Daphnia pulex: one gene and its partner. The main gene of each other region encodes a partner of the protein of the gene in region 2 in a complex. Links are inferred from orthologs where the notes say so. Each region holds a gene or a part of one and is shown on either strand. Other genes may lie near its edges.

Region 1 (2,621 bases), on a different chromosome or scaffold from region 2:
CAACAAAAATATACAGTGGTGCACACGGAGTTCAATAAGTACAAGTTCGTTGTTGGACGGCCACCGGCTGTAAACACCTGTTATCCTCTTCACTTTATGGTACTTTCATGGGGATCAGCACATTCATAAGTAAAAAGTTTTGATGTCTTCACTTAGGGGTATATGACACATTGTTCTAACCGAGCTATTGAAACGGTTACATTCATTTAATCTGACGGGGCGAAACAAGAAACAGGCAGGAAACAGACTGCCGCCATAGTGTCGAGCACCTAGTGGCTTAAGTTTAAACTAAATGGACATGTCACTCTATCTCGAGTTCTTTTTGGGAAGTATTCGTTACCTGCTAATAACTACGTACGGTATACGTAAAATATAAAATAATTGAAATAAATTTTCATGGTAAGTTAAATCACTGTTCGGAAACCTAACCGTAAGTAATATAATGTAATTGTTGTAACGATTGTTGTACGATGTGTTTACTTGATGGTCAATTTATGAGACAAACAATTTATGAAAATGGGGATTCAAAAGTGTCATCATTTATTAGTTTTTAATCCAGTGTCATTTAATTGAACAACACAGTTAATAGCGATATTTGGTAGAATAATCTTTCGGTGAAACAACCAAACCTCGACCTTTTCTGGCTCCACGATAGACTGTTTCCACAATGTCAATCATTTCTTGTTTATCTTCTATTGCCCAGTTGATTTTATTGTTGTTACCAGTGCCTAAATCTATCATAATGTGTTTGTTACGGAAGAAAAACATGTTTGTGCAAGGATCATACAACTCGTACCTATATAGAAAAACAGTGAAAATCATTATTGGGATTCATTCATACAATGTAAATATGAAATTACATCTTATTGAAGTCAGGAACTTGGGTGATATCCACTAAATAGATGACAGCAAAGTTCTTGACTTTCTCTGCAATTTGATAAAGCACTTCATCCATTTTCATGCAAGTTGGGTCCCAATCATGACCAAAACGAATAACCTGTAGTAAAGCATGTTTAAATTGATAGTAATATTAACTAGAGAAAGTTTGATTTACCACTAAACGGTCCTCTTCTGAAAGAATTGCTTGATCTACTTGCCAACCATTAACAAGATGCTGTAACATGTAAGACATATTGTTTGATTGATAAAGGTCGTGAAAAAAGAAAAAGCTGAACAGTGCTTAGAAATAGATCTCGCTTCACGTTTTCAAACCTTTCCTTTCAGAAACCCGAAAAAGGTAAATAATGCGTCTGTCAACTTCACGAGTAACACGACATCTGTGTGTGAAATTTTCATCCACTTTCTTTACAAATTCATTCCCAACTCCCAAGGAATATAAACATATTTAACAGTATAAAAATGTGTATAGTTAACTATAAAATATTTAAAGTTTTACTAATAAAACATTTTAAAAGTAAAATAAAATTTATTTCTAATAAGGGATTATTCTTAAGATCTGGCAAGTGGCAATACTTTCGAATTCCCCCCCTGGCCCCCTTCCTCTTATCATTTGTTTTCAATTTTTCGTTCAGACTTCATGGCACGGGGTCGCCTTCAGAAACCCGAAAAACCAGTTGTGCTTTTACGTAAAATCAAATCTCTTTTTACATAACCTGTTGAAAACCGACTATGCTTTCAATCTAAACGAATTAATAACTCAGCCATTCCTTCAAGATAGCCAATAGTCTCAACACCGGCCATGATCACAATAAGCATTGTTATTACCATCTTTATTTTGTTGAGCATGAGTTCCATTCTTGGTATTCTTGTGTTTGTTGTTGATACTAAGTGGATACCAAAGATTATAATTGATCTCTACTCTTATGGGAAAAGTTGTGAAGGTAAGGTATTTGGCAGTTCAATCAGAACTATCCTTATTCCGAAGAGGTATTAAAGTTACTACTGCTGATTCCTTTACAATTAAAATTAAAAATTTATTTTAATCTGCTAAATTAAGTTGGTTTACACACTTTTATGTGTTTGGAGTATTCTATACATTCCTGGTTCTCATAACAATGATGTGGAAGATTGTGTTGAAGAATCAATTATCTACGCTTGTAACCTCATACATTAGTTTTGTATCACCATACACTCACAATCCTTTAGGTAACTGAACAATTTTAACAAAATTTTATTCATTCTGTATTGTTAAAATATTGTCTATTTATAAAGCTAGCCCTGAGTTATCACTATTAGCTGCTGTACTTTTTTTCCTGCAAACATCCAGGAGGTTGTATGAATGTTTGTGTGTCACTGTTTTTGCTGATTCAAAAATGAACCTTGGCCATTATTTAGTTGGCTATCTACATTATTGGGGGTGTGCCACTGTCATACTTTCATACTCAGCTGACTATTCCAGTACAAATGGTAGGTGTTACCAACACAATATTTTCCCATTACATGATAATCTTTTCTTTAATTTATTGTTGAACAATCTAGATTTTGTATGGATACCAAATAGCAATGATATCCCTTTACAACCCATTTTTGGCATAATTTTGTTTACTCTTGCCTACTATCATCAATATATTGCACATGTATCCTTAGCAAATTTAAGGAAAGGTAAAGAATTTTTTTGATTCAAACTTATAATTCAGTGAAAGTTTCATTTATTTTTAGAT
Region 2 (4,340 bases):
ACTTTTGCAATGTGCGTCTGAAGTGCGACACCGGTGTTGCCAAATTTCGTAATGCTCATAATTATGTTTTCCCTTTCAAAAAAATTTTCCCGATTGTTATTTGACACATTCCGAACAACCAAAAACACCGAGAAGATTTATTACTAAAACGAAAGGCGGATGAAAATATTAAATATCTTCTTCATCTCATCTTCCATGTTCCTGCACTGCTTCTAGTTGAAGATTCCGTTAACAGCCAGTGATTGCAGAGCAGCTACAGACGCCTGGAAGCCCGCGTTATAATCGCAAGCTACTTCGTTCGTAACGAAATTGTGTCTGTCATCTACGTAATGGTCATTTTGGTTATCTGGGCCACCAATTAGAGCTCCATAGAGGATCTGGGGATTAGGATTGGGTGAATCAAAGGCATCCCAATCGCAAACGGCGGGCCTATTCGGACATGAACTGCAAAAAGACGAAAAATTAGAAATGTGTATAATATTTCTGGATATCTATTGTATGAACAAGAAGCTAAAAACACGAACCTGGACGCATGATGTGGCTTCAGTGGTGGATTGTGCCCGAAACCCACGACAAAACTACGGCCTGTATCTCCAAGTGCATAATGAATCTGCTGTTGCGCCAGTTGGCGATACGCCAATGGATTGATGTTCAGATCGGCAGCCTACGGAATAAGTGAATAATATATTAATATATTAGTTTAACGTATTTTTAATCACCAGGCGTAAAATTGTGAATATAATTTTTTTTTTAAATACTTGAAGACAAATGAAAGCGATATTTGATGCGGCGCCTAAAGATCCCCACTTGGTAACAAATAGGAGCCCCTTTGGCGTCTTCGGTTGTTCAACTTTGGAATCACAGAAAGTTTTCGCTGCGTTTCTGTAGAGGTTCTCATTTGTCAGTTTGGCCAACAGAACCTATATGAATTAAATGGCATTAACGGAACAATAATTAAACAAATATAACTGATTTACCTGTACTCCGGCAGTTTTCGTATCCCATGAAAATTCCGATGGATTATCGGAGAGGTTGAAATCGGTGTAAAATGCCTTAGCATCGTCGAGGTAAGCGTTATCGTTAGTAGCTCGGTATAACCAACTAGCGCTCCAAGCCAGTTCGTCACCGAAACCACTTGACCTACAGGCAATTGTGATATTATACCGGATACACATCAAACGCAACAATTTTATTAAATTTAAAGCTTTTACGAATAAAAATCTGCTACTTGTGGGATGGACTCGCTGTATATTCCTCGATGTCGTTTAGCAAAATCGTACAATTGCTTTGCATGTGTCAAGCAAAGAGCTGAGTAAGTGCTGTCGACTGTTTTAAAAACTATTGAAGTTGCGGCAAGTGCGGCAGCTGTTTCACCGGCCAAGTCAGACCCTATCGTGCGCAATGTTGTGTTATTTCTTTGAACGACAATATAATTTAAAAACAAATTACCAGGTTTTGAGGTAGATATAAAAAAAGCCTAAAGCGATAGAAATGTAGTTTTCAGTCGATGAAATAAATGAGTTTAATAATGGGTCAGGGCTTTATACCGGTCGTTTCATGGTCATTTCTTCGGGACGTCCCCAGTAATCGTGATCGAGATCGCCATCGCCCACTTGCCCATAAAATTTGTTAGTTTGCACATGGGCCTTGATAAAGTAATCTGTCGCCCACTTGACCATATTTCGAGCTGTTGTTAATTTCCCTGTATTATTTAAATTAATCCAGTAAGTTTAGTGATCTGATTCAACGAGAAATTGGTTTAAATTTTTAAAACCTGCGGAAGAATATCCAAGCGGATAATCAATTATCGACCAAGCCACTATCGTTATAGAACTGGCTAAAGGAAAACCGAGTTTCAAGTGATCTCCAGCTAAATAAATATGGTAAAGAATTTCAAATACTTTGATGGAATAAAATAGAATACAAATAATAGTATAAATTACCATCGTAATAGCCTCCAGTGAGATCTTCTCCGTCTTGTCCACGATCGTTGAGCGCCGAGTCTGAACGATACGGAATGGGGTTATCGTTTACTGGCAAGCGCCCAGAGCGCTGGGCATAGTAGAAGAGCAATGATTTGGTGATTACTTCACGGTAATTGTATTTAGTCGGCCAGGCATCCACTAAAAGGTTGTTCTCCTAGAAATTGCTTCATTTAGTACAACTTTTTCCATTTTATGCCAAAGAATTAAAATTTATTACTTCTTCTATTATCGGTTGTCTAGCCTCTGTTTTAGTGTCTTGGAAGGACATAATAAAAACAAAATTTAACCAAAAATTCTCTATTATTACGATTAATAATTTAGTTACTTACCAATTAAACAGACGTTGTCTCCGTTAAAAAGTACGCTTGTAATAATGGGTGTGGTGCTGGAACTAAAGAAAGCATTAAAACCGACACTCGTCAGTGTAGCCCCAGCGCTCTGAACTCCGTTAGAACTGAGGTTTCTCAGCTGATATTCCACTTCATTAATCTTAGACTCTGTAGCGTCCCAAGCCTTTAAAAATAAAAATATTCAAAAATGCTATCTATGATGTAACAGGAGCGTGTCATACCTTTAACCATGGAACGGCCGATGAAAATTTCAGGTCAATTTCCCATGAAGTGATTGGAGTCGTAATTGAAATATTAAGCGAGGCAGTCAAGCCTCCCGGCCAAGATGAGCTAATTGTGACGACATTATCGCACGGTCCTCCTATTTATTATTTTGATTGGTGTATTTTTCAACTCTATAATCATGTTAAATATGAGGAACCACACGGAAGAATATTTACCGGAAGCTAGATGCATGAAAAGAAGAATAACGATGAAGCCGGATAAAGACAACATTCTCGGTAGTAAGTTTGCTGGATTCTCTGTCAGCATCGTTCGTCCCGCTCGCCTTTTTATACTTTACATTCGGTCAAAGCATACACGGCACAGACTCAACTCTTTTACGTTATTGCATATTACTTCACAATAATTAAAAAATAACGAAAATACAGTTGCGTAACAAGAATACCATCACCATATTAAAACCATTTTAGAGGAAAAGAATTACTTGAGCAACGCACTGGTATTAGGAAATACAGGACCCATTCGATGGAATGCATACTCACACTACCAGTTTCAAGTAGATTTTATAATATGGATGACGCACAAAATTCTTTTGTTTAGACATTTTTAAAAATTGTCTTATTTTTTTCCCGATGGAACTATAGCCTTGATAACTACGACTTCTTTTGCACGAGGAATTTCAGCGAAATCTCTTTACGGGTTTCTTCGCGGAAAACGTAGTTACGCTTGTTGCATTTTTCGATTTCTATACATCAGTTTATCACCCCCTGTGCGGATTTCAGATGTTCTTGTTTGAAACCAATCAACTTCGACGCTAGATTAATGACTAGCCTATTGTGATGTTTGGGAACTTGGAAATCAATTAGGTGTGGAAATCAATTTATCAACATCTTCTATTGAATTCAGCAGTTGCATAATTCAGGTTTCAGATTGAATGAAACAACACGCGAGCTACCACCTTTACCTTGAAAAGGACATCGAACTCAAACGTATTCCAGACTTTCCTTATACTCTTTCAGATTAATAGACGATTCTTCGTGACATGCGCATCGGTTGAAAAGTTACCAATAGTTTGAGAAATGTATCACCAAATTTTATTTAACTTTTCAAGAACACACAAATGCAGGCGTTTTTTAACCTTTAGTAATAAATCCCATTTCCAAGAAAACCAACAAGATCAGCAGTACTGTAGCAGATAACCATGCAGAATTAAGAGTAAAATATACTTTCTAAAATGTAGGTATATAATATAGTTGTGTAACAAATTCCTGTCTTATCTTGTAAATTTGTATTCTAGTTGAAAACACCTTGGACAGCCAATGATTGCAAAGCAGCTACAGATCCTTGGAAGCCGGCGTTATAATCGCAAGCTACTTCGTTGGTAACGTAATTGCTCCGATCATCCGTGTAATTGTCGTTGCTATCTGGACCACCAACTAGACCTCCATAAAGCACCTGGGGATTGGGTGCAGTTGAGGAATAAGTGCTCCAATCACAAACAGCTGGTCTATTCGGACATGAACTACATAAAAAAAAATAAAAACATTAAAAAATAATAATGCTATCATATTTATAAGCACAATGTTTTATTCAAACCTGGACGCATGATGAGGTTTCAACGGCGGATTAACTCCAAAACCCACGACAAAACTACGGCCTGTATCTCCAAGCGCATAATGAATTTGTTGTTGCGCCAGTTTGCGATACGCCAATGGATTGATGTTGAGGTCAGCCGCCTTTTGAATCGGTGTAAGATTTAAGACTCAAACTCATATGATTATTT

Evidence for each region. The genes of interacting proteins can lie anywhere in the genome.
Region 1: pre-mRNA-processing factor 6-like (region 2) and thioredoxin-like protein 4A share a complex: the UniProt entries of both Homo sapiens proteins name them as parts of the U4/U6-U5 tri-snRNP complex. The link is inferred for Daphnia pulex from reciprocal best matches to the Homo sapiens genes PRPF6 and TXNL4A.

The regions. Positions count from the first base shown.
Region 1 is NC_060018.1:1,947,511-1,950,131, reverse strand, and holds thioredoxin-like protein 4A, read right to left. Parts: upstream 1,265-2,621; 5' UTR 1,133-1,264; coding exon 1,055-1,132; intron 998-1,054; coding exon 861-997; intron 797-860; coding exon 583-796; 3' UTR 518-582; downstream 1-517. Other genes in the region: polyprenol reductase-like, read left to right, coding at 1,700-1,887, 1,958-2,106, 2,173-2,367, 2,440-2,562, 2,620-2,621. UniProt on the Homo sapiens protein: Plays a role in pre-mRNA splicing as component of the U5 snRNP and U4/U6-U5 tri-snRNP complexes that are involved in spliceosome assembly, and as component of the precatalytic spliceosome (spliceosome B complex).
Region 2 is NC_060027.1:3,689,174-3,693,513, forward strand, and holds the start of pre-mRNA-processing factor 6-like, read right to left. Parts: upstream 2,879-4,340; 5' UTR 2,867-2,878; coding exon 2,776-2,866; intron 2,697-2,775; coding exon 2,557-2,696; intron 2,499-2,556; coding exon 2,315-2,498; intron 2,241-2,314; coding exon 2,203-2,240; intron 2,140-2,202; coding exon 1,944-2,139; intron 1,871-1,943; coding exon 1,775-1,870; intron 1,703-1,774; coding exon 1,548-1,702; intron 1,478-1,547; coding exon 1,450-1,477; intron 1,390-1,449; coding exon 1,212-1,389; intron 1,141-1,211; coding exon 978-1,140; intron 921-977; coding exon 759-920; intron 665-758; coding exon 525-664; intron 445-524; coding exon 294-444; intron 1-293. Other genes in the region: endoglucanase 12-like, read right to left, coding at 3,851-4,079, 4,154-4,293. UniProt on the Homo sapiens protein: Involved in pre-mRNA splicing as component of the U4/U6-U5 tri-snRNP complex, one of the building blocks of the spliceosome.